3 linked regions of the Arabidopsis thaliana genome follow. The protein of the gene in region 2 interacts with the protein of the main gene of each other region in a pairwise test. Each region holds a gene or a part of one and is shown on either strand. Other genes may lie near its edges.

The links.
Region 1: the proteins of AT5G35460 (region 2) and DiT1 interact in a protein complementation assay, tested with the Arabidopsis thaliana proteins (one large-scale study listed by BioGRID).
Region 3: the proteins of AT5G35460 (region 2) and AT5G19570 interact in a protein complementation assay, tested with the Arabidopsis thaliana proteins (one large-scale study listed by BioGRID).

Annotation. Positions count from the first base shown.
Region 1 is NC_003076.8:4,056,684-4,065,125, reverse strand, and holds DiT1 (dicarboxylate transporter 1), read left to right. Parts: upstream 1-2,836; 5' UTR 2,837-3,206; coding exon 3,207-4,295; intron 4,296-4,524; coding exon 4,525-4,746; intron 4,747-4,836; coding exon 4,837-5,199; 3' UTR 5,200-5,275; coding exon of another isoform or gene 5,276-5,276; 3' UTR 5,277-5,547; downstream 5,548-8,442. Other genes in the region: MYB46 (myb domain protein 46), read left to right, coding at 187-467, 1,626-2,187; AT5G12850 (CCCH-type zinc finger protein with ARM repeat domain-containing protein), read right to left, coding at 5,938-8,058. UniProt on the Arabidopsis thaliana protein: 2-oxoglutarate/malate translocator involved with DIT2-1 in primary ammonia assimilation and in the re-assimilation of ammonia generated by the photorespiratory pathway.
Region 2 is NC_003076.8:13,668,851-13,677,737, forward strand, and holds AT5G35460 (uncharacterized protein), read left to right. Parts: upstream 1-3,638; 5' UTR 3,639-3,747; coding exon 3,748-3,828; intron 3,829-3,928; coding exon 3,929-4,048; intron 4,049-4,134; coding exon 4,135-4,192; intron 4,193-4,284; coding exon 4,285-4,385; intron 4,386-4,464; coding exon 4,465-4,560; intron 4,561-4,648; coding exon 4,649-4,742; intron 4,743-4,975; coding exon 4,976-5,213; intron 5,214-5,338; coding exon 5,339-5,696; 3' UTR 5,697-6,653; downstream 6,654-8,887. Other genes in the region: AT5G35450 (Disease resistance protein (CC-NBS-LRR class) family), read left to right, coding at 1-50, 145-1,835. UniProt on the Arabidopsis thaliana protein: Glycerophosphocholine acyltransferase (GPCAT) that utilizes acyl-CoA to acylate glycero-3-phosphocholine (GPC), forming lysophosphatidylcholine (LPC).
Region 3 is NC_003076.8:6,603,545-6,610,216, forward strand, and holds AT5G19570 (uncharacterized protein), read left to right. Parts: upstream 1-3,019; 5' UTR 3,020-3,194; coding exon 3,195-3,608; 3' UTR 3,609-3,777; downstream 3,778-6,672. Other genes in the region: ROPGEF10 (ROP uanine nucleotide exchange factor 10), read left to right, coding at 510-626, 737-891, 994-1,068, 1,413-1,685, 1,770-2,096, 2,182-2,586; AT5G19580 (glyoxal oxidase-related protein), read right to left, coding at 4,051-5,376, 5,515-5,973.

The DNA of each region.
Region 1 (8,442 bases), 9.6 Mb from region 2:
TTTCTTCCCAGAATTGTAAGCAAACCATACAACCATCCCTTTCTCATCATCATCATTCTCCCTTCATCAAGTCTTCTCTCTTTTCTCTCTCTATTATAAAACAAACTTCACTCGTTCACATCAATGGATCCTTGAGAAAGACAAACAAATTGAAGAGAAATAATAACAATTAACTCAACCAAAAATATGAGGAAGCCAGAGGTAGCCATTGCAGCTAGTACTCACCAAGTAAAGAAGATGAAGAAGGGACTTTGGTCTCCTGAGGAAGACTCAAAGCTGATGCAATACATGTTAAGCAATGGACAAGGATGTTGGAGTGATGTTGCGAAAAACGCAGGACTTCAAAGATGTGGCAAAAGCTGCCGTCTTCGTTGGATCAACTATCTTCGTCCTGACCTCAAGCGTGGCGCTTTCTCTCCTCAAGAAGAGGATCTCATCATTCGCTTTCATTCCATCCTCGGCAACAGGTTTACATTTTTACCATCATTTTGGTTTTGACATAATAACAACAACTAAGAGATAGAATAAAATATGGAAACTAGTGGCCGGAAGATAAATATAAATGTTCTGGCAAACTAGCTTTTGTCTGGTGAGTCTTGTTTTTAAACTTGTGTAGCTTAATTTGTTTTCGGTTAATGGGTACAAAGTTAAAGCATAGAAAAGCCAGTCAACTGATTTTAAAAAAAAAGTCCACCCTAAAACGACCAAATTGTCAAATTAGATCTTGATAACGTTTTCACCATATTTTATTTGATTTTTTTTTTCTACCAAATAAATAAGAAGTGCAGAGCTATCTATTTAGAGGTATAATATCTATGTTTGTTTTAAGGACGAGTTTTCAATTATACTATTACATTAATCAGTAAAAAGTAATACTATATATATAAGATACGTTAACATCGTAAAATGTATAATCAAACTTACGTGGAAGGATAAAGTTTGGTCGAGTTTTCATTGGTACGATTAGTAACTGTTTAAATTCAAAGGGAAGAATGATTGTGTACGAAGAAAATTGACCCAAAAGAAAGTTGAATTAGAATAATAGTAGTAAGAATGGAAATAGACGCATAAAACCAAAATAGGTATGAGTACATTCACATGTAATTATGTGAGTGGTCAAAGTTCGTTGATCGTGGGTTTTAAGACTTAGAGTGCGTCTTATGATCTTATCTAACAACAAACACTTATTTTAGTGAAAGCGGCTTTTGTCACTTTACACACCTTTTCTTCTCTTCCTTAGGGTTTTACTTCAACTTTCATCTTTGTAATTATATATTTATTAGTTCCTTTTTTTGTCACTTTCTCCAGAAATATACGTTCTAGTGTTTTTTACGCAGGACATGTTTCCTCTCTATTTATATATATATATATATATATATATATATATATATATATATATATAGATTCAATTCAAAACACGCAGTGTGTATAATGTCATTTTATTGCTTAATATGATTGTGCAATTTTATAATTGTTGATATATTGCCTCTTTTTCACGTACTCAAACATAAAAAACATGAAGAACGGATCACTCTCTAATTCCCATGCAAACCATGCACTGGTATACATTTTACATAACATCATCTCATTAAACTATTCTACTCTCTTATTCTTCGATTTCATAGGTGGTCTCAGATTGCAGCACGATTGCCTGGTCGGACCGATAACGAGATCAAGAATTTCTGGAACTCAACAATAAAGAAAAGGCTAAAGAAGATGTCCGATACCTCCAACTTAATCAACAACTCATCCTCATCACCCAACACAGCAAGCGATTCCTCTTCTAATTCCGCATCTTCTTTGGATATTAAAGACATTATAGGAAGCTTCATGTCCTTACAAGAACAAGGCTTCGTCAACCCTTCCTTGACCCACATACAAACCAACAATCCATTTCCAACGGGAAACATGATCAGCCACCCGTGCAATGACGATTTTACCCCTTATGTAGATGGTATCTATGGAGTAAACGCAGGGGTACAAGGGGAACTCTACTTCCCACCTTTGGAATGTGAAGAAGGTGATTGGTACAATGCAAATATAAACAACCACTTAGACGAGTTGAACACTAATGGATCCGGAAACGCACCTGAGGGTATGAGACCAGTGGAAGAATTTTGGGACCTTGACCAGTTGATGAACACTGAGGTTCCTTCGTTTTACTTCAACTTCAAACAAAGCATATGAATATTTTTACGTCATCTTATTCTTTTTTCTATTGCGGTTTATACTCAAGATTCTTAGCCACACACACATAAATGCAAATATATATACATTGTTAGAGAGTATTTTGTATTTCGAATAATCTTTTCGTACTAGGGCTTGAGCCTTGAGGTGCCATGTAATGATTAGTCAATGTAAAACATATATCCTATAATAAATAAATAAAAGAAATAATAAGCACATACATTCTTTAATATAACAGGGGCAAACACTTGAAGAATTTTGTAATCAAGTAGCAATGGAGAAGATTGAACTAATTAAATGAAAGTTTTTCTGATGTTATATCTTTGGATAAAACTGAACATTTTGTTTTATTGAATGTACTTTAAAACATTTGGTAACTTTCTTAGACATTCACATTAGAAAGTATCCTCTTACATAAAAGAATCATGTATTCAATATTTGATGTCACACCTTACTCTAAACAAACAAATCAAAACTATGAACCATATAACACTCAAAGAAAAAAAAACGAGAGGCCGCTTAAGGGTTTACACTAGATTTAATTCCAAGCGAAGCCATCTCGGCCCATCTTGGACAATGTAATGAAAGCTACTATTCTATTGCCAGTTAATCTTTCATTGGACGATCCACTAGTAAACGCATAGTTTAAGATCTTTCAAAACCAAAAAACAAAGCTAATAAATCAATAGAAAATTTGTTGAGTGAAGGATTTTGCTTTGTATGTTTCGTCGATCTAAAAAGACCAAACCCAAACCCAAAATGGCTTTTCGTAAATATTTCAGCCAATAGGATGAGGTGACTGACCCACCAAAGACGGAGATCTCTATTTCTCACCTCACGATCTCATCTCATCATCACTCTCTCTCACTCTTGTCCGTATATTCCTTTTCTTAATCTCACCGTCCGATTCCAATCCAACGGTCAACATTTATCCAACTCTCTCTTTCCTCTTCTTACTCATTTCCTTCTTCACTTCCCTCTCCTCTTCACACCTCTCTCTCGCCGACGACGCTACAACCATGGCGTCTCTCGCTCTCTCCGGCTCCTGCTCTCTCGCTTTCCCTCTCAAATCTCGATCTCTCTCTCTCCCTCGTCCTCCTTCTTCCTCTCTCAATTTGACGAAACCTCTCCGATCTCTCGATTCTCGCTTCTCCTTACTCAAATCTCCACTTCCCGTCTCTTTACGCCGGAGATCATCAACTCTCGTTAAAGCCTCTTCCACCGTCGCTTCAGCTTCCTCTTCTCCAACTCCTCCTTTGGTTCCAGCTCCGGTTCCATGGCAAGGAGCTGCCATTAAGCCTCTTCTCGCTTCGATCGCTACTGGTTTGATTCTATGGTTCGTTCCAGTCCCCGAAGGTGTCACTCGCAACGCGTGGCAATTACTCGCGATCTTCCTCGCCACCATCGTCGGGATCATCACTCAGCCGCTTCCTCTCGGTGCTGTTGCTCTAATGGGATTAGGAGCTTCCGTTCTCACCAAAACCCTAACGTTCGCCGCCGCGTTCTCCGCTTTCGGAGATCCAATCCCGTGGCTCATCGCTCTTGCCTTCTTCTTCGCTCGCGGTTTCATCAAAACCGGTCTCGGTAACCGTGTAGCTTACCAGTTCGTTAGACTCTTCGGTAGCTCCTCCCTTGGTCTCGGTTACAGTCTCGTCTTCAGTGAAGCTCTTTTAGCTCCGGCGATTCCTTCTGTCTCGGCTCGTGCCGGTGGAATCTTTCTCCCGTTGGTGAAATCTCTCTGTGTTGCTTGTGGGAGTAACGTTGGGGATGGAACAGAGCACCGTCTTGGCTCGTGGTTGATGCTTACTTGTTTCCAGACTTCTGTGATCTCTTCTTCTATGTTCTTGACGGCTATGGCTGCGAATCCTTTGAGTGCTAATTTGGCGTTTAACACGATTAAGCAGACGATTGGATGGACTGATTGGGCTAAAGCTGCGATTGTACCAGGACTTGTGTCTTTGATTGTTGTTCCGTTTCTTTTGTATCTCATCTATCCTCCTACGGTGAAGAGCAGTCCTGATGCTCCTAAGCTGGCTCAGGAAAAGCTTGACAAGATGGGACCTATGTCTAAGAACGAATTGATTATGGCTGCCACTTTATTCCTCACGGTAAGTGTGCTTCTGCTTCATCGGATCTGTTCTTACTTATGGTGAGAGCTTGATTTGAAAGGTGCTTCAGTATTGAACATTGAGAGATTTTAGCTATTGTAGCTCCTTAGATTAAGCTAGGGCTTTGCTTCTGTTTAATGCATTTGCTTTGAGTGAAAATGTTTGTGGTTTTGGTGTTTTATTACAGAGAAGGTTTTCCTTTTCTAAAAAAGTGTTCTCCTTGACACAGGTTGGTCTCTGGATCTTTGGAGCTAAGTTGGGTGTAGATGCTGTGACTGCAGCCATTCTTGGATTATCAGTCCTTCTTGTGACAGGTGTTGTGACATGGAAAGAGTGCTTAGCTGAGTCGGTCGCATGGGACACACTCACCTGGTTCGCTGCTCTCATTGCGATGGCTGGTTATCTTAACAAATATGGTCTCATTGAGTGGTTCAGCCAGACCGTAGTCAAGGTTTGTTAAATGATTTGATGAATGCTTAATAAGCCTAATGACTTAGCATGCTAATGAAATGTTTTGACATTGTTTGGGTTTTGATTGCAGTTTGTGGGAGGATTGGGTTTGTCATGGCAGCTATCTTTTGGAATCCTCGTCCTCTTGTATTTCTACACTCACTACTTCTTTGCTAGTGGAGCTGCCCACATTGGTGCTATGTTCACTGCCTTTTTATCGGTTTCAACCGCTCTAGGCACTCCACCTTACTTTGCAGCCTTGGTTCTTGCGTTCCTTTCCAACCTGATGGGAGGATTGACCCATTATGGTATCGGGTCTGCGCCTATCTTCTACGGAGCTAACTACGTGCCGCTGGCTAAATGGTGGGGCTATGGATTCCTGATTTCAATAGTCAACATTCTCATCTGGCTTGGTGTAGGTGGTGCCTGGTGGAAGTTCATTGGCTTGTGGTGAGGACCACCATACACCAATCTTCCCATTCTTTTCCTTACTTATATATATAATCTCTTAGAACGGCTTTGAGATTCAGATTTGAGAAGGATTGAAATCAGGGTTATAAGGATTGAGCAGAGTTTTTCTGCAATTTTTATTCTCACTCACACACATTTTGAAGTGTAAGCAATCTTAACTTGCGTCAATTTTGTTTGATTTCTAACTTTACTGTTTCAAAGTGAGACCACCACTTTACTTGATAGTTACTCGACTTCCATAAACGTGTTAGTTGAGAGATTAATGTCTATTAGTCTATGAATCGCTGGTTAAAGTTTAGTGGAAAAAACAGGAAAGCAGAGAAAGCAATAGGAAATGAATGAATCTTATTAGCTGAAACAATATGTTATTATTTCTCATACAGTGTTCTTTGACAAATATGAAGGAGATATTAGAAACAATTGACAAACTGAGAGGATACAAAAAATGTAAATCAGAAATCCGGGAAGTAATAGAGGCGCACTTTGGCCATTGTTACAACAGAGATGATACAATAATTAATTTAATGAGGTGATAAAAATAAGAAAGTAAAGAAATTTCAGAAAGAAGCCTGAAAAAACTGAGCCTTTTAGGGTTATTAGAATCGAAAAAAGCTTACCCGGAGTTTGCTTTTGTTTCCGTTTGCTTTCTTGAATAATAAATAAACGAATCATCAGTTTCACAGCTTCACAGAAATGTGAACCTCTCTCTCGCAGCTGAGGCTCAGCGATCTAGGTGCAGCTGTTCAAGCCACGCATCAAGAATGTCGCTCTCACGAGTGTCACTGTTGTGAGGATTCACACTCGAACCACCTTGAGTCAATGGCCTTGCACCATTCATGTTCACAACACGGTTTCCGTTCCTAGGTGATGAAGAGTCTTTTAACATCTGCTGAGCCCATGAAACATCTGCTTCCCTGTTTGGGTTATTAGCCAAGGAATGAGATTTTCTCAACCGACCTAACTCATCTGATTGGACTGACCAATCCACCTTGCTTCCATGGGTCTGGTCCCAACTTGACCATGGACTTAATGGCGAACCAGAATCAGTCGGCATTAAATCACGGGGCAGACTAGATCCAAAATCACGGGAGCTTAGGCTGCGTGAATGTAGCTGCTGTTTCATTCGAGCATTCATTGGGGAAATAGGCTCTCCGCCTCGGGGTGACGAGGCTTGCTGCAGAAGAGAATGTTGCTCCACATTCTTTGGAGAAGACATTAGATTTGTCTTGATAGGAGAAAGCATGCTCTGCTTATTATTCTGCAGCTGATTAAGAAGCGCGGACTTGTGGGAAGGCGATAGAACAGATGAAACAGCAAGTTGATCAGAGAAACGAGGAGATGCAACCTCAGCTGAGAAGAGTTCCTCCAGATTTGAAGGGTTCAGTGTCTTAGGACGAGCGGAATGATTCATAAAGCGTGGACTGTGCATATCGCCAGCAAGCTGACGTTGCATTTCAAACTCATGCAGCATGCTAAGCTGCTCAGAAGGAATATCTCTAGCGTTAAGAGAAGATCTCAGACGACTCAACTGGATATTGCTTCCAGGAAGATTCAACGCCGGTATGTTCTGCTGAGGCCAACCCATCGATGAATGGGGCATACTACCATTTCCAGAAGGAGATATTGGTGGGGTGAACGAATGTTGAGCAGCAGATGGTGAGCCTGGTAACATGTTCAAAACTGACGCCATGTCCATAGTAGAGGCGGAAACAGCAGACGAAGCCCGAGGAGATGGCAATCCAGATCCTGTGGAAGGGTACAAGGGACGCAACTCCTCATTTGCGTGAGCAAAGAAGCAAACCCTTCGGTTGCAACCCATTCCGTCCTTGCACAATCGTGTTCTGTACTGAGCAGGGTGTAGCCAGCATTCAAAAACCCCATGAGCATATTCACACATATCACCTTGCTTACAGGATCCTTTCTTAAAATCCGGGCATGGAACACACGTATAGTGAAACTTCCTCGGGTCTCTTCTCCTTGCATTCTCACCTGGGTGTGCAAATGGACATTCAGTCCAGTCATGGGAATATGCTCGAGAACATGGGCGGATCTTGAACGAGAACATACGAAACTCATCGGTTGAATAAATCCCGCTTTTGATATCAGGCAATGATGGATCAATTGGGTACTCTTTCTTCTCTGATGCGAAAGTTACATCAGTACCGTGTGGCTTAGTCGGAGAGGATACTGAATCTAAGGAGAGTAACGAGGAACCATTATCAGGGGATGATGAGAGAGACCGGAAACTTGATCCCAAGCTAGATGACGAGGCATGCAGATCTTCAGATATAATCTCGTCTTTCTTCAAGATCTCTTCAAGGATGGTTCTCAAACCAGGAGCGTGTGGAGACACAACAAGAACATCAACAGGACGATTTCCATGAGCATCAGGGATATTAGGATCTGCTCCTACACTCAAAAGCAACTTGACAACATCCAAGGAATTCACAGAAGCACCAGAAGCAGCGCAATGAAGAGCAGTACTTTTATCAGGACCACAAGACAGATTCAACTCCGCTTCCGGGAAAGAAAGAATAAACTTCACAACATCTAAACTCCCATATAACGAAGCAACCATCAGCGGGGTTCTTTGCTCAAGAACCATTCTTCTAACAAACCTCTGCCGTCTGTACCAAAGACCCATCTGGTTGATACAAGACACATCAGAGAGTTGCCGCCTAAACCCCTCCACATCGTTGTCTGCAGCAAACTCAAGCAAGGCAGAAAACGAATGTTCCCATTCAGCAGCATCATTCATGGGTTTGGCCAAAGATTCATTCTCTTGGTCTGACAGTGATGTCAAAGTATCCTCTATATCCAGCTTCTTAGCAAGACCACACATCCTTCACGGCACTGGAGAAGAAAAAAGATCTGAAACAATCAACCAAAAGATAAAAAACGTTACTTGGGTAATGAAATCAACCAATAACGTATGCTTCTTGCAATGTAGAGAAGAGGTATATCATAAAAAATATTGGTCAATCAAAATCAGCAATTAAGGAAAGCTATTGAATTGATAAATGATTATAATAATAAAAACTTGACCAGAAAATAAGGAAACAAAGTAATTAGAATTTGACAACGAAAGTCAGAAGATTTACCAAAAGAAGACTCAAAGAATTAAACGGATCTAATAAACTTTTCTGAAATGAATTAACACAGAAGAAAACTAAATCTAAGAAGCATCAGATTCAGTATCGTTCAGCTAAACATTCTTCTACTCAGA
Region 2 (8,887 bases):
AGAAAGTTGGAAGCTCTTTGAGAGGATAGTCCCTAGAAGAAATGAAACTGGTACACTTTCAAATTTAAAATTAAGATCAAGAATCTAGGAAATTTTATTTTTCAGCCAACATGTTGAAATGTATTACCTTGTGATACTATGCAGAATATGAAGAAATGGAAGCCATCGGAAAGGAAATGGTCACATATTGTGGAGGACTACCATTAGCTGTTAAAGTTTTGGGAGGCTTGTTAGCTAATAAACATACAGCTAGTGAGTGGAAAAGAGTTAGTGAGAATATCGGAGCTCAAATCGTAGGAAAATCGTGCTTAGATGACAACAGTCTCAATTCGGTTTACCGAATATTGTCTTTGAGTTATGAAGATTTGCCAACGGATTTAAAGCATTGTTTCCTTTACCTAGCCCATTTCCCTGAAGATTACAAGATAAAGACACGGACATTGTACAGTTACTGGGCCGCAGAGGGAATTTACGATGGATTAACCATCCTTGATAGTGGAGAAGACTACCTAGAAGAACTAGTGAGGAGAAATTTGGTTATTGCTGAAAAGAGCAATTTGAGTTGGAGACTTAAACTTTGTCAAATGCATGACATGATGAGGGAAGTATGTATATCTAAAGCCAAAGTAGAGAACTTCCTCCAAATTATCAAAGTCCCTACTTCCACCTCTACCATCATTGCTCAATCTCCTAGTAGATCTCGAAGACTCACCGTACATAGTGGTAAAGCCTTTCATATACTAGGACACAAAAAAAAGGTCAGATCTCTTTTAGTTTTGGGACTCAAGGAAGATCTTTGGATACAATCAGCTTCACGCTTCCAAAGCTTACCATTGCTCAGGGTGTTGGATCTGTCTTCGGTAAAATTTGAAGGAGGGAAGTTACCTTCTAGCATTGGAGGGCTCATCCATTTGAGATTCTTGAGCTTACACCAAGCTGTGGTATCTCATCTACCTTCTACTATTCGGAATTTAAAGCTTATGCTCTATTTGAACTTACATGTTGCTATCGGGGTGCCGGTTCACGTGCCAAATGTTTTGAAAGAGATGCTAGAGTTGAGGTACCTTTCCCTACCTCTGGATATGCATGATAAAACCAAGTTGGAATTGGGTGATCTAGTGAACCTGGAGTACTTGTGGTGTTTCTCAACGCAACACAGTAGTGTGACAGACCTCCTCCGTATGACCAAGCTCAGGTTTTTCGGTGTATCTTTTAGTGAAAGGTGTACTTTTGAAAATCTATCTTCATCTCTCCGTCAATTTCGAAAGCTGGAGACACTTAGTTTCATTTATTCGCGCAAAACCTATATGGTTGATTATGTGGGAGAATTCGTTCTGGATTTTATTCATCTAAAGAAGTTAAGTTTGGGAGTACATTTGTCAAAGATTCCTGATCAACATCAATTACCTCCCCACATTGCACACATATATTTATTGTTTTGCCACATGGAGGAGGATCCAATGCCAATTCTAGAAAAGTTGCTTCATCTGAAGTCGGTTGAATTAAGACGCAAGGCTTTCATAGGGAGGAGAATGGTGTGCTCAAAAGGCGGGTTTCCTCAATTACGTGCTCTACAAATATCTGAACAATCGGAGTTGGAAGAGTGGATAGTAGAAGAAGGGTCGATGCCATGTCTTCGTGATTTAATTATACATAGTTGCGAAAAGTTGGAGGAACTTCCTGACGGACTCAAGTATGTAACATCCTTAAAGGAACTGAAGATTGAAGGAATGAAGAGGGAGTGGAAGGAGAAATTGGTTGGAGAAGATTACTACAAAGTCCAACACATTCCCGATGTTCAATTTTTCAACTGTGACGACGAACAAAGAGAATAACCAGTAGCAGGTAAAAAATAAACGGTATAATAATGTTCACTTTTCAAAGTCATGTGGACAGTCTCAACTTTTATACATTGTTCTAAAATCGATCATCTTTTAAATAGATGCAGGAAAGAACAAGAAGCTAGTCAAATTCTCTTATATTGGGAGAGATAGAGGCTGCTTCACAAGAGTCATCTACTGATAAATCTCTGGAATACAGATTCTGAAGTACTACTGATTACGTTGGAGCTCTCGCTTTCAGTGCATCGTTATGTTGTGGCTCAGAACTATATGCTTTTTATTGATGTTTGTTTTCGGTGTGGATGCATGGAACGTGCTTGAGAACTCTTTCATAAAATTGAGAAACGAACCTTGTTTTTTTTGTAGTTCATTGTAAAAATTGGATATTTATGTTTATACGAATTTGTTTTGTTTTCTCGTTTGTGATTTAACACAGTTAGCTAGCTTTTGTAAGCTTTATTTACATCAAATCTGGTTAGATTTGTTTTTTATCACATTTAGGCTTAAGTTTTGTTAGTTTTGCACCTCTTTTACTGTGTACGCATAGTGAAGTCATGGTTGAACCAAGACGAGCAAAACTGATGTACAATAAACAAAACAATCTCATTTTGTACAAGTTTTTTGTTTCATTTTAATTTCTTTTATCAGTACTGTGTGATATTTGCACTCGTGACTTAGACTTGGGTCGTTGAGGGATTAGTCGATTTCTTGTTCAGGAACAACATAAGATTGTCAGAACAAAACACCAGTTTTTGTACTTTTGTTTTTAAATCTTGTTTCAACTTCAGACAGACCCCCTTATTCTATGGCTTTAGTATATTTGTTTACTTTTGAACAATGTTCAAAAAAGTGTTAGGCGATAAACGGGCGATGACCCAACGCCTAGCGTTTAGAACGCTTAGTCGGGGTTTAAGTGATTTTAGGTGGTTTATCCGTTTATGACATAAAACATTTTAAATATGATATTATAGATAAAAATCATATAAAACTATATATTAGAAAATATTAATCGGATCCTAATCAAAAATTAGATAAAAATGTTTCTTTAATTTATATCAACAATATATGAATGTTTATAACCATGTGTAGAAGTAAAACTTATAAAATTTAAGCAATATTAGTTAAAAATAAAAAAAATATACTAAAACGAAATTTATGTTATTTTAGGCAGTCGAGATGATTATTTAGGCGTCAACTGAACGCTTAGCGGCATATAAACGACCGTCTAGACCGCTTTTTACAACACTGCTTTTGAATCTTTCAAACTTCATCCAAAAACAAAACTAAAGCTTCTGGAACATGTGAAACCTTGTCAAGAAACTCTAGTTTTGAACTCATAAAACCTAGTTAAGAAGTTTTTTTTTTTTGTCGGCACCTAGTAAAGAAGTTATACCACAGCATTCTTTTTTTACTTTTTTTCTTTAATACAAGATGCAATTAAACAAAATGTTCCTCTAACTATAATAATGTAGAAAAATACGTGTACGCTAGGAAATTTCTCGACCCGCGCAAAAGAGGGTCCTAGAAGTTTCAACTTTCGACACGTGGCTCCTTCTCAGTCTCTCTTATTAAAGTCTTTAAATTATATAATCACCAAAGGCAATTAATGGAATTAATTTACTTTGAGGACTAATATTCCATCTGATTTCCCAAGATAAAACATAAAGTCCTTATTACTTAATTATGAATGTAATTATTGGATTACATGTAATTAATCACCACTTTATAAAACTGAACAAAAATAGTAACGAATATAAAGAGTTTAATAATGATTTTTGGGTCATTTTCCTTCACCAAATTTTTAATTCCGCATAAAGTAAAATATCCTGAAAACAGAAAAATTCAGTGTTTTCGGATTCTCCTTTAAAAACGACAAAAGCATCTACAGAGAAATCTGACCGCAATAATGGCGAATAACGAAGATTCAAACTCCAATGGACTAGACTCGTTTGATGCTGTTAAACAACGTTTCAAAGATCGATCAAAGGTACAACATCAGATTCGATTTTCACCATTTTTGATGTTTCTCTTTTGTTCCAATTTTGTTGATTTTGACTTTGTGGACCAATTGTTTTTGATTTTGACAGAAAGTTGTTCAGACGAGAGAGTTGTTGTCTAAACAAGCGGTACAAACGCGTGAGATCTTATCGAAACAAGCCGTTAAGATCGCTAAACAAGCCGAAGAACATGAGAGATTCATCAATAAGGTTAGGTTTCTCTCTTGATTCTTCAATCATGTTTTGATTTTAAGTTACTTTGGTTTGAAAATGTTTGGTTCTGTAATGTTTTAAAGGTGACACATCTCGTTGGTGTGCTTGGATTTGGAGGTTTTTGTTTCCTACTTGGTGCAAGTGAGTTCAAAGAAATTGTGTTTTTTTTTTGTTTTTTTTGTGTTTTGTTCTTAATTCAATGTTGTTGATGTTGATGATGTTTTCGTTTTCAGGACCTCAAGACATTCCTTTAGTTTACTGTTTCTTCTATGTGATCTTTGTTCCTCTTCGATGGATATATTACCGGTTTAAGAAATGGCATTATTATCTTCTGGTAATGTCTCTTTTGAGGATTTGGAATTAAGAAACAGTCGTTTTGATTGTTATTGAAACAATTTTTGTGTATGTGATAGGACTTTTGCTACTATGCCAATACAATCTTCTTGGTTGATCTTCTTCTGTATCCTAAGAATGAAAAGCTTTTCATGGTTTGCTTTTCCTTTGCTGAGGTATGCTTTTTAACTACATGTATGTATATGAGTCTTTTGTGTCATTGTGTGTGCTGATTTATTTTATTGGTTGTGTCTTGTGCTGCAGGGACCATTGGCGTGGGCGATTATTGTCTGGCGTTGCAGTCTGGTTTTTAGTTCGCCGGATAAGATTGTTAGTGTTCTTATACATCTCTTACCTGGTGAGTTCTATAATCTTCTTGTTGACAGAAGAAGATATGTTATTGATTCATATTGCTAAAGTTGACGGCTTTGATTAAAGTAGTTGTATGAATTCTTAGCTTGTTGTTCCCCTCTCAACCGTTTTTAATTCAAACACATGGTTCCTTGTTGTAATGCATATGATAGATATAGTTAAGCTTTATGCTCTCTCTCTCCATTGTTTCTTTATTATTGTAATGAATTTTGGTTTCAGGGCTCGTGTTTTTCACGATTAGGTGGTGGAATCCAGCGACTTTTGCAGCTATGCACCCTGTAGGCACTGATCGTAGGGTTTCATGGCCTTATGTTGAAGACAAAGCTTACCTATTCACATGGCTGTTTCTCGTCCCCTTAGTCGTTTATACTCTTTGGCAAGTGCTCTATTTTCTAATCGTCAATGTCCTGCGTAGGCAGAGACTCCTTAGAGATCCTGAAGTTATGACTTCTTACAGGTATCTCTTGTCTACGCCGTATGTTAATGTTCTCCTCATATTGATCGCTAAGGTCACAGCATAATGTAATGTGTTCTTACCATAGAGTGAACACTTGTATTGATGGAATCCTTTGGTATGTGCAGAGAGCTGTCGAAGAAAGCTGAAAAGGCAAACAATAAGTTGTGGCAGCTGAGCGGTCTGCTAGGGGATCAGAATCGTATATGGATGTACATCCTATTCCAGGCCATCTTCACGGTGGCAACCATGGCATTGACCGTACCGATCTTCCTATCTTATAGACTTCATGTGATCTTTCAGATCCTAAAGATTTCTGCGGCTGTGTGGAACGGAGGGAGCTTTTTACTAGAGGTAATGCCACGGCAAGTGATCCAGAAAGAGAAGAAGAAGAAAGCTGAGATGCAGCCGATAGAGGAGCAGATACTACATCATGAAGCTGTGTCACATCCGACTGAGAATGAGCCAAAATCTACTGAAACATGATCATGGTTCTAACAAAAAGGTACATGTAAAATAAAGTTTTCAAAGGTGAATCATGATTGGTGTTTTTTTTGTTCCTCATGTTTTGTTCTATAACTGTTTGTTTCTCTTGTTGCTATACATCATTCTAAAAGCTTAATGTATGTGAATGATCTTGTAGTTTATTTTTTCTAAAGAAACTTGTTATTTACTCTTTAGCCAAAGTTTTGATCCTGTTTCGCTAGGACATTCTGGCCTTAAAATTGCATTATGAGAGATTTAACTATATTTTTAACGCGTTTTCGAGAAAGGAAAATCTTCGGATTTCAGCGAAGTAGATTGGGATAAGTTCTCCTTGAGACGCGGATTTTGTTTTCTGTTTCTGCTGTACAAAACAACCATCACTAAAGATCATAACATTCATGTGTTTGATAGTGCATAGTTCTCGAACATGTCGTTACCAGCCGCGGAATAAGCTTAATAAGTATGCCGATAGCATTATGAAATCCATCATGTCCGATACGACTATTGTTCAGTGGAGATGAAGCTTAATAACTTGAGTTCCGCCAAAGAATTCACTCAAAAATCGACCATGAAGAGGATTTTGATCGATGCAAATCGCCCCTGTAACGAGCTGATTTGGAAGAAGACTCAAGAACCACCAATTTGCACCGTACGGTCAAATTGAGTCAAACCAAACCGAAGAGCCCCCTGATGTACTTGAAGACTTTCTGCTGATTATATTCACCCTCATGAAAAGACTACACGACGTTTAGAAGCTGCGACTTTAACTTAGCTCTCGACGCCATCACCGAAGATCCTCCATTATAGCCTAACGGCTAGAATCATCACGCTCCTCTCTTTATTTCGCATTATTCGGTTTCCTTTTCTAAGTTTTAGACCATTGTTGTACTTTTCAATTTAAGCTCTTTGATTCTCTACTTTGTATTCACGCTTTGATCAATTGAAATTCAGTTTGTTTCTTGCTTCAATACTTTGTATCTTGAATCAAATCTGTTCTTGCGAGTTCTAGGTTGTTTGTAGAATCAAATACTTCTCATCTAAAAGCTTCCATCGCTCGCTTCTAAGCATTGGACCCGTGAGCCTTGTCTTGGTGGAATCCAGGACGTGTAGTCGTGTATCACATGAAATGAATGGAATAAGATTTTGATTATATAATCTACAAAGTAGGTCGCATTAAGATACATGCCAAATACCGCACTGAACAGAGAAAGAAAACAGAAAATCAATGTAAATATTGTTGGTGTGTCCTTGACTACAATGTTTTTTGAAAAATTATCTTGATCATGTGTTTTGTCAGGTCCGAGTTGTCCATGATATCAATATTCATGATGGTAATCGATCAACCTTTGAGAGTATAGTAACAACACTTGGCATATTTCTCACTTACGCTAGTCTCATTTTTTGTTCATTCAATGAAAAAACTTAATTTTATGAATAAAATTTCTCGAAATGCGCTTAAGACCTTGACAGTACGACAATCTATATTTACTAAACTGAGAAAAAATTGCCAACGCTGTTAAGGAGGTTGAGGTTGGACATGGGTGGTGGCCGGAACCAGCAAAACTGATCCACTAGCACGGCGAATACAAGACCTTTTTTTTGTGACACTATCAATGGGTTCGAGTTGACTATTCGGTTTCCGTCTCTGAGCCGATTCTAGCGACTTGCTTGATCCGCAATAAATCTCCCAAAATGCTAATTAACATTTTTAGATTCTAATATTTTGTTATAAGCTTTTGAGACTGTACACATGAGATTTTAAACGACCAAAGCTATCTCGCTAATTAACATTATTATAGATTCTAGTTATTTTTTATATTAAGATTTTTGTATAAAGGAAAAAAGTAACATATGAAATAAGAAAATATATGGATTTTGGAAAATATTTCTGAATCTTATTATATAAAATATGGTTTTCAAAATTAATAACTCATAGGATTGTGCCACGTGTCAAATTTATTGATCAGATATTGACATGTGTCAGAAGAGATTTAACTTTTGTTTTTCTTAGAAAAATAGAAAAACAAAAAATGAAACAAATCTAAATATACTAATTTATATGTCCATATATAAAATAAAATAATAATTTTTTTTCCTAAATGAAAAAGAAAAATTAACAAATTTAGTTATCAATGTGTTATTGGTCATTTCAATTTAGCATGTAATTTTAAAAAAAAAAATCATTTACGATGGATAATAATACTAATTAAAAAGGCCCTTAAAGTTTAAAATAACAATATAATTTATTTAACATTAATTTAAGAGCCCCTTAATTTAATTGGCTATAAAAAAACAAAAAAGCGAAACAAGTCTACATATACTAACTTATATGTCTATATCTAAAAGAACAAAAATTATTAACAAAAAGGAAAATTAACAAAATTCTTTTTACATTTGTTTTGGTCAATTAAATTAGCATGTAATTTATTTTTAAAAATTATTTAGTATAGATAATTATACTAATCAAAAAGCCCAGAAGTTTAAAATAACAATATAATTTATTTAACATTAATTTAATTGGATAATATTGTATTTATCTTTGTACTATAGTGTTTTTATTCGTTAAATCAAACCATAAAAACAAAAATGAAAAACTTAATGAGGTTATAATAATAATGTTATGAATACTTATGTTTTATTCTAAGAATTTTAACACATCATGTGATGGAGAAACTTGCATCCTTTCATGTGGTACAGCAAGCTTATACTTATATTTTATTCTAAAAAATTTAACGCATGTAGTCGTAAGTGAAAACATAACATTTTTGAAATAAATAGCTTATAATATTTGAGTTTTCAATTACTTAATGAGAGTTAGTTTATTTTTTACTCATTTCAAATTATTTTGTATGAGGTAAAATAAACTTACGAGATTATGATATACAAAAATAATAATTTAAACAATGTTTGTTTTCCAAATTATTTTGTGGATTTCTATATTTTTTTATTAATGTTAATTGTTAATTATTTTGAATACTAAGTAATATTTATATTTGATCTGATATAAATATTATTTTGATATGAAATTGTTATCACTTAAGATGAAATGTGTAGAATTAAAATGAGTTTATTGTGATGAAATGGATTGTTAAAGTGTATTGCAAAATTGAATGTGCAAGATAGAATTTTTCTTTTTCATAAATACTAAATTAATAACTATTTAGAATTCAAATATTATCAATAAGTGAATG
Region 3 (6,672 bases), 7.1 Mb from region 2:
AAAAATATCCATTTCATATTTTCGTAAATATATCCATTGCACCAATAATTAATTAATGCTCCAATTAATGATAATGTAGAATCTCTAAATCATTTATTACCCGCTTATATATATTGACCGAAATAAGAAGTCCTCATTTTATAAATTATATATAGACAGGAAAATGATATTATTGCACGGAAAAAAATTATGTGATCCGCAATAATTAATTATTGCTAAATTTGATAACCACATAAACGAATAAAATGTTATCCCAAAACCACAATGAATTAGATGTATTAATATCTTCATTAGATGTATTGTATATAGCATAATGAATTGCATTTAGATTGCATTTGTGTAAGATGCATGGGTTGGATCTGAAAATCAATTGGTAAGAGTAGAATTACCAATATCGTTGTATAAAGATGAGTTCTTTAACTAATATTTATATATTTTTGATAACTATTTAATTAATATTATTCTATGTTGGATTCCTTACATAATCTTTGTATTGATATCTGTTTCAGACATGGAAGTGATGAAGGAAAGATTCGCAAAACTGCTTCTTGGAGAGGACATGTCAGGCGGTGGGACAGGGGAGACCTCTGCGTTAGCTTTGTCAAACGCCATCACCAAACTCGCTGGTAAACCTTTAACACTACTAATATGATTAAAACATTAAATGTCTAATAACGATTTGAATGGTTAAAATAAGTCACAAACTAATTAATGTGGCTTTGGTATTGGCATGCAGATTCGATGTTTGGAGAGCAGATGAAATTGCAGCCTATGTATCCGGAGACAAAAGAGAATTGGAGGAAAGAAATGGGTTGGTTATTATCTGTGATTGATCACATTGTCCAGTTTGTTCCTTCTAGACAAATGGGTAAAAATGGCCAATTCACTGAGGTGAATGCATGCAACTGTTAGTCATTAATTACGTACATATATAACAACTACTAGTCTACTAGTGACGATTTTTCTTATTAACCCTAATTTTCTCCTTTGTAGATCATGGTTACAAAACAAAGAGATGATTTGCTGACGAACATTCCAGCTTTACGCAAACTTGACTCGGTTCTTCTCGTGAGTTTAATTACTACTTGATTGTTTCAACCGCGGTTTCAACGTTTGGGAAAAATTAAACCATTATATTATATCAAACACCACATCGTTTCAAAAATATTTTGTTTGCAACAATATCCATGACACTAGGACAAACTACTATATATACTACAAGTCATAGTCATCTTTGCAAATTATAAAGATAAATATAACTGAAAACGTCATAACACCAAGAGTACCATCTCATTAATTAATTTCATATAGGAGTGCATGTATTATAAAATGATCATGATATATATATATAACAAACAAAAATAGATGAGTTGTGACCATTTATCATACTAATGCAATTACTCATTTGGCAGGAAACTTTGGACAACTTCAAGGATCAGAAAGACTTTTGGTATGTGCCAAGAGATATGGAGGATGCAGATCACAATGGAGATTGGAGGAGGGATGAGAACTGGTGGTTACCAGTTGTTAAGGTTCCAACAGATGGCTTGTCTGAGGAATCACGTAGATGGTTGCAGAATCAGAAAGATTCTGTGGCTCAAGTCCTTAAAGCCGCCACGGCCATCAATGCTCATGTATTGTCTGAAATGCACGTTCCTGAAAACTACATTGATTCCCTTCCAAAGGTTACTTACTTCTTCTTCAAAAGTGTTCTGTTTCTTTACAATTTCCACTAAGCTAGGAAGCTGATGAGGCTGTTGGTTATGTAGAATGGGAAGACAAGCTTGGGAGATTTTCTTTACAAGAGCATAACAGAGGAGAGCTTTGATCCTGACTACTTTGTCTCTTTCTTGGATTTGTCAACGGAACACAAAGTACTTGATCTAAAGAACAGGATTGAAGCTTCCATGGTGATCTGGAAGAGGAAGATGTGCCAGAAAGAGAAAGACGGGAAATCTCAGTGGGGATCCACTGTTAGCTTAGAGAAGAGGGAGCTTTTCGAAGTCCGAGCTGAGACCATTTTGGTTATGCTCAAACAACAATTTCCTGGGATCCCACAATCCTCCCTTGAAGTCTCCAAGATTAAAAACAACAAGGTAACATAACATAACAAAGACTAAACAAACATCAACAAAAATGTAGTGAGACTGAGTAAGAGTTTGTTGTGATTTGATCTTACAGGATGTTGGACAGGCGATTTTGGAGAGCTATTCAAGGGTACTAGAGAGTCTTGCTTCAAAGATAATGTCAAGAATAGAGGATGTTCTTGAAGCCGATCGGCTAGTTCAAAGACAGTTGATGGGAGAGGCAGAGACAAGATCAGAAAGCGAGGCAGAATCAGAATACGAGGAAACTGAAAAGGTGGTTGCAGCGGAAACACCAAACTCGAGGAAACTATCAGACTTCATAGGGTGGAGATTGTCATCTGATACTAAGAAGCATAGTTCAATGAGTGATATAGAATTCTTCCACAAAGTTGAGCAGGAGAAGGAGAAGCCCATGATGAAGTCTCCAAGAGCTCTACCGAAGAAATTTTCATATCTAGCAAAGTTAGAGAACATGAGAAGCCCTAGTGACAGACACTGATAGTGAAAAGAGAAGGTAATAGAACAGGGCATAGAAGAAGAAAAACACAAAGAGAGTGAGAGAGAGAGAATAGAAGAAGGTTAAAGTGTGTGAGAATGTACATATATAACAATGCAGGCATTGGTTTTAGGATTTGGACATGAGACTTGGTGTTTGATCATGATTGTTGCTTGTTTTGACTATTGCTTCCTGTTGTTTTTTCTAAGAAGGAAGTGTGATTCAGTGTGTAACAATATTTTGGTATTTTTGTTCTTTGGTGTTTTGTATTGTAACGTCTAATCTACAACATTGTTTCCTAATGGATTTTGAAGCTCATTGATAATGACTAGTAGTGTAGTAGTATTGTAATGAAACATTATTTGATGACGACATGTAATTTAGTGGTTTGTGATAATACCATTGATCTGTGTTTACCATCCGGACTATTCAGGTATTCGGGTCCGTTATTTGGATTTTTAAATTTTTCGGATCGGGTTTAGTTCGGTACCTTTCGGGTTCGGGTCGGTTCTGGATATCCAAATAATTCTTCTTTTTGATCTCCTTTACTCAACATTTAGTGGTTAAAACACAGAACAACGGAAAAGGCAAATCGGGATCAGCCACCGGCGATGAAGGAAGACATGGATAAGATGGTGGCGGTAGGGCTCGTATGGGGAGCCACCAATGCTCTGATCCGTCGTGGCGCTCTTGCCTGGGATAAAACAAAGTCTTCTTCGACAACAGAATCTCATTCTCCTCCTCTTCAGATCCGCCGCAAAATCATGATTGCTCTCCGCGACTGGATCAATCTCCTCCTCTTCTGGCAATACTCAATTCCTTTCCTCATAAACCTCTCCGCCTCCGCCACATTCTTCGCCCTTCTCAGTCACGCTCCCATCTCTCTTGCCGTTCCGGTGACTAACGCCACAACCTTTGCCGCAACCGCCGCTTTTGGGATCCTTTTAGGGGAAGAAACTCAAATCGGACTTGCTTTGTTAGGTACGAGCTTTATTGTATTTGGAATTTGGCTTTGTGTTCTGTGAAATTCGAATTTTGTAAAACCGTGACTCTGTTTCTGTGAGATCTATTTTGCGAAAGAACTATTTGTGTACCATCTTTTGAGAATTTTAGCTAACTCTCTGCAATATTATCGAAGGTAATTAACATTACTAGTCAATGAAACAAACAGTGACTTGCAATGAACGCATCGAATGATTTATACGCAAAACCGAACTAGTGAAGAAAGAATAGAGCCAAAAGTAATAATAAAAGAATTTCTCCAATACAAAATTTAGTCATAAAAACTCACCGAAAAGGTTTACATGAACGGAAAAGTTTATAGAAGTGAAAGAAAACACAAGTAATTTGGATCCATTAATGGTGGCATAAACAATATATATAGAAGGAAAAAAAAACTGATATTATGTGATTGTTTTATATTAAGATGTTACGGTCATAAGACAAAATGGGTAAAAATTATCGTCATTAGACGACCTGAATCCATTCTCCAGTGCTGGGAACACCTTTGTAGATGGCAAAGATAAGATAGTAACCCGGTGGAGCGATGTTTCCATTTGGTGGTGCAACGGCCTGGATATCGTAACCGGCACCAGCAGGTTTGACATTATTGACACCCAAGATGAGCATCCTCATGTTCATTGAGATACTGTGTGTTGTGAAGGCAGGGGCTAACATGGTAACCTTGAGATTTCCCTTGGTTGCTCCCTTTTCTTTAAGGTCGACCTTCACGTTGAAGAATTGTCCGTATTTGACCTGTTTTGGGGTGCCGGTGGTGACGATCTTTGGCCTTATGTTGGCTAGAGCCGGGTCGAGGTAAGGTGGGGAGAATTTCTCAACGCGAAGCTCCGTTGGGAACTCAACGTTGTACTTGTAACCGTCGTTGGTGTTGCTGCCACCGACAAGAACCTTACCGTCTGGAAGAATGATGGCGCTGGAGTGGTACATACGTGGGATGGTGGTGGGCTTGAGCTGTCTGAAACGCTTGCCACGTGCAGCATGGGGCTTGTACAAGAGGGGAGCAAAGGCAGGGTCTTTACCATATCCCCAGCCTGAACAACCACGTTTAGCTCCGTTGACTAGAAGGATGTCTCCGTTAGGGAGGATGACAGTATCACTCATGATTCGTGGGGTTGGCATCATCTCCGTCTTCCATCGTGGCTTTGCGCTGTTGATCCTTATCCTGGCGCAGTCTTGTAGTGCTGGTTCGTATATTTTTTTACCAGCCTTGTAATACGCGTCTTGTTTGGAACCACCACAGACGAGAACCTCGGCTGGGATGACCTTGGGGTTTTTCACGTAAAGTTGGATGGGGAGGAGTGCGGAAGAACCTGATCCCGGGTAGTTACGGGCACCACCTGGGAGCTGAGGGAACTCCTTGATGACTTGGTTTGTTTTGGGGCTTAGAAGGATGGATCGGTTGTTAGCGAAAATGAAGAGGTTACCGTCGGTGTTAAGCCAGACGAAAGGGTAAAGGTTGTTTTCTTCCGGGTCGTCTGTTTGCCTGAGGAGCAATGAGTCAAAGAGCTTCCTGTTGTTTTGTCCCTCCTCAGGAATGTATTCGTAGTTCAAGGCGTCTCTTCCACCAATCACGAAGAACTTTCCGTCAGGGAGAGTTGCTTGCGTTGAGTACCATCTCTTCGCGGCCAATGCCTGAGGGTATTCTTCCCACTTGCAGTTTTCACAGCTGGATAGGTACCTCGCGGTGTTGGCTCCTCCTCCGTATCCTCCAGTGCTCACCAATGTACCATTTACGGTCAGACCTCCGGATGAGCACCATGTATCGGTGGAAAGCTATCATGAAACATGTGAATGCAAATATTTAATTCAAGTTCGTATAATATGATTCTATTTAATGAGAAGAAGATAACCCGTGTCTAGGCCTAGGCCCAAAAAAAAAAAAAAAAGATGGTGTCGTGAGTTTGAACATACCCCTAGAGGCTTAAGGGCGCCGGTGTTGACATCCATGAGAATCGAATGAGCCCAACAATCGACCTTGTTAGTCTTAGCGTCCACGACATGGCATGGTACGCCTGGAGGCAACTTAATCTTTGAAATTCTCCAAATGGTGGCGTCATAGTACTGGACCTTGTTGATAACTGGCATAAGGATCGCATGCATCCCTGACACACCCGAGTTTTCCAAGAAGAGCTCCCACTTACCACCCCAGGTTGTCTGAGCGTCTAAACCGCCGCCACGCTGCCTTCTTGCGGCTTTTCCACCAACTGCTCCTGCAGGCTGTGGTTTCGCAACCTTGACAGCCTCATTGTCCCTAAAGCCGTTGTTGAACCCAGGGAGGAACGGTAGAAACGGTAGAGGGAAGATGGCCTCGGACACAGCAGCGAGCATAAGGACAGATATTGTCCATATGACTCTTGTTGAGGCTTTCATTTTCTAATTTTTTTTGATTTTTTTGTTTTCTTTTTTTTTCTTCCCCTGTTTTGGTTGGGGAAATAAGAAAATTGGATCCCAGGCTTATATTGATTGTTGTGATGCCTGAAGAACAAGCTCTTGTCTCTGCGTGATTTATAGGTGTTGTTATTTCACTTACGTTTATTATTAGCAATTGCTATTTTTAAATGTGTGGTAAGAAGACGTCTCCCCAAAACAGCCTATAGATTTGTGGAGTTTCTGTGATAGAAGAAAACATTGGTGTTTCGTATCTGTCTCTCGTGCCCTTTTTTTTACAATGACGTGGTCATGCAGACAATTTCTTAATTTGATGTCATAAAGTTAAGGACCATTTCCTTACAAACCATCATGGGGCTGATCCAAAGGGTAAAGGATTGCATAATACGTACACATAACTATACATATTACACATATTTTGAAAAGTAATAAAGAAACGTGATTGGCAACAAACTCTCAACTAACATAATTAATAGATGATTAACACATTCCCAAATGAGCCAACTTAACAATAATGACTATGCATGTCACGGACATTGTTAACATTTAATTGGCTGCAGTGGACTTGCACATCAACAAGCATCAGAGTAGATCTGTCCCGACGTTGATAATTGTTTTCCTTGTTGAGGGAAGTGACTATATATCTAGTGTTAGTCTTTATGAAACTGAAAACAGCAATGT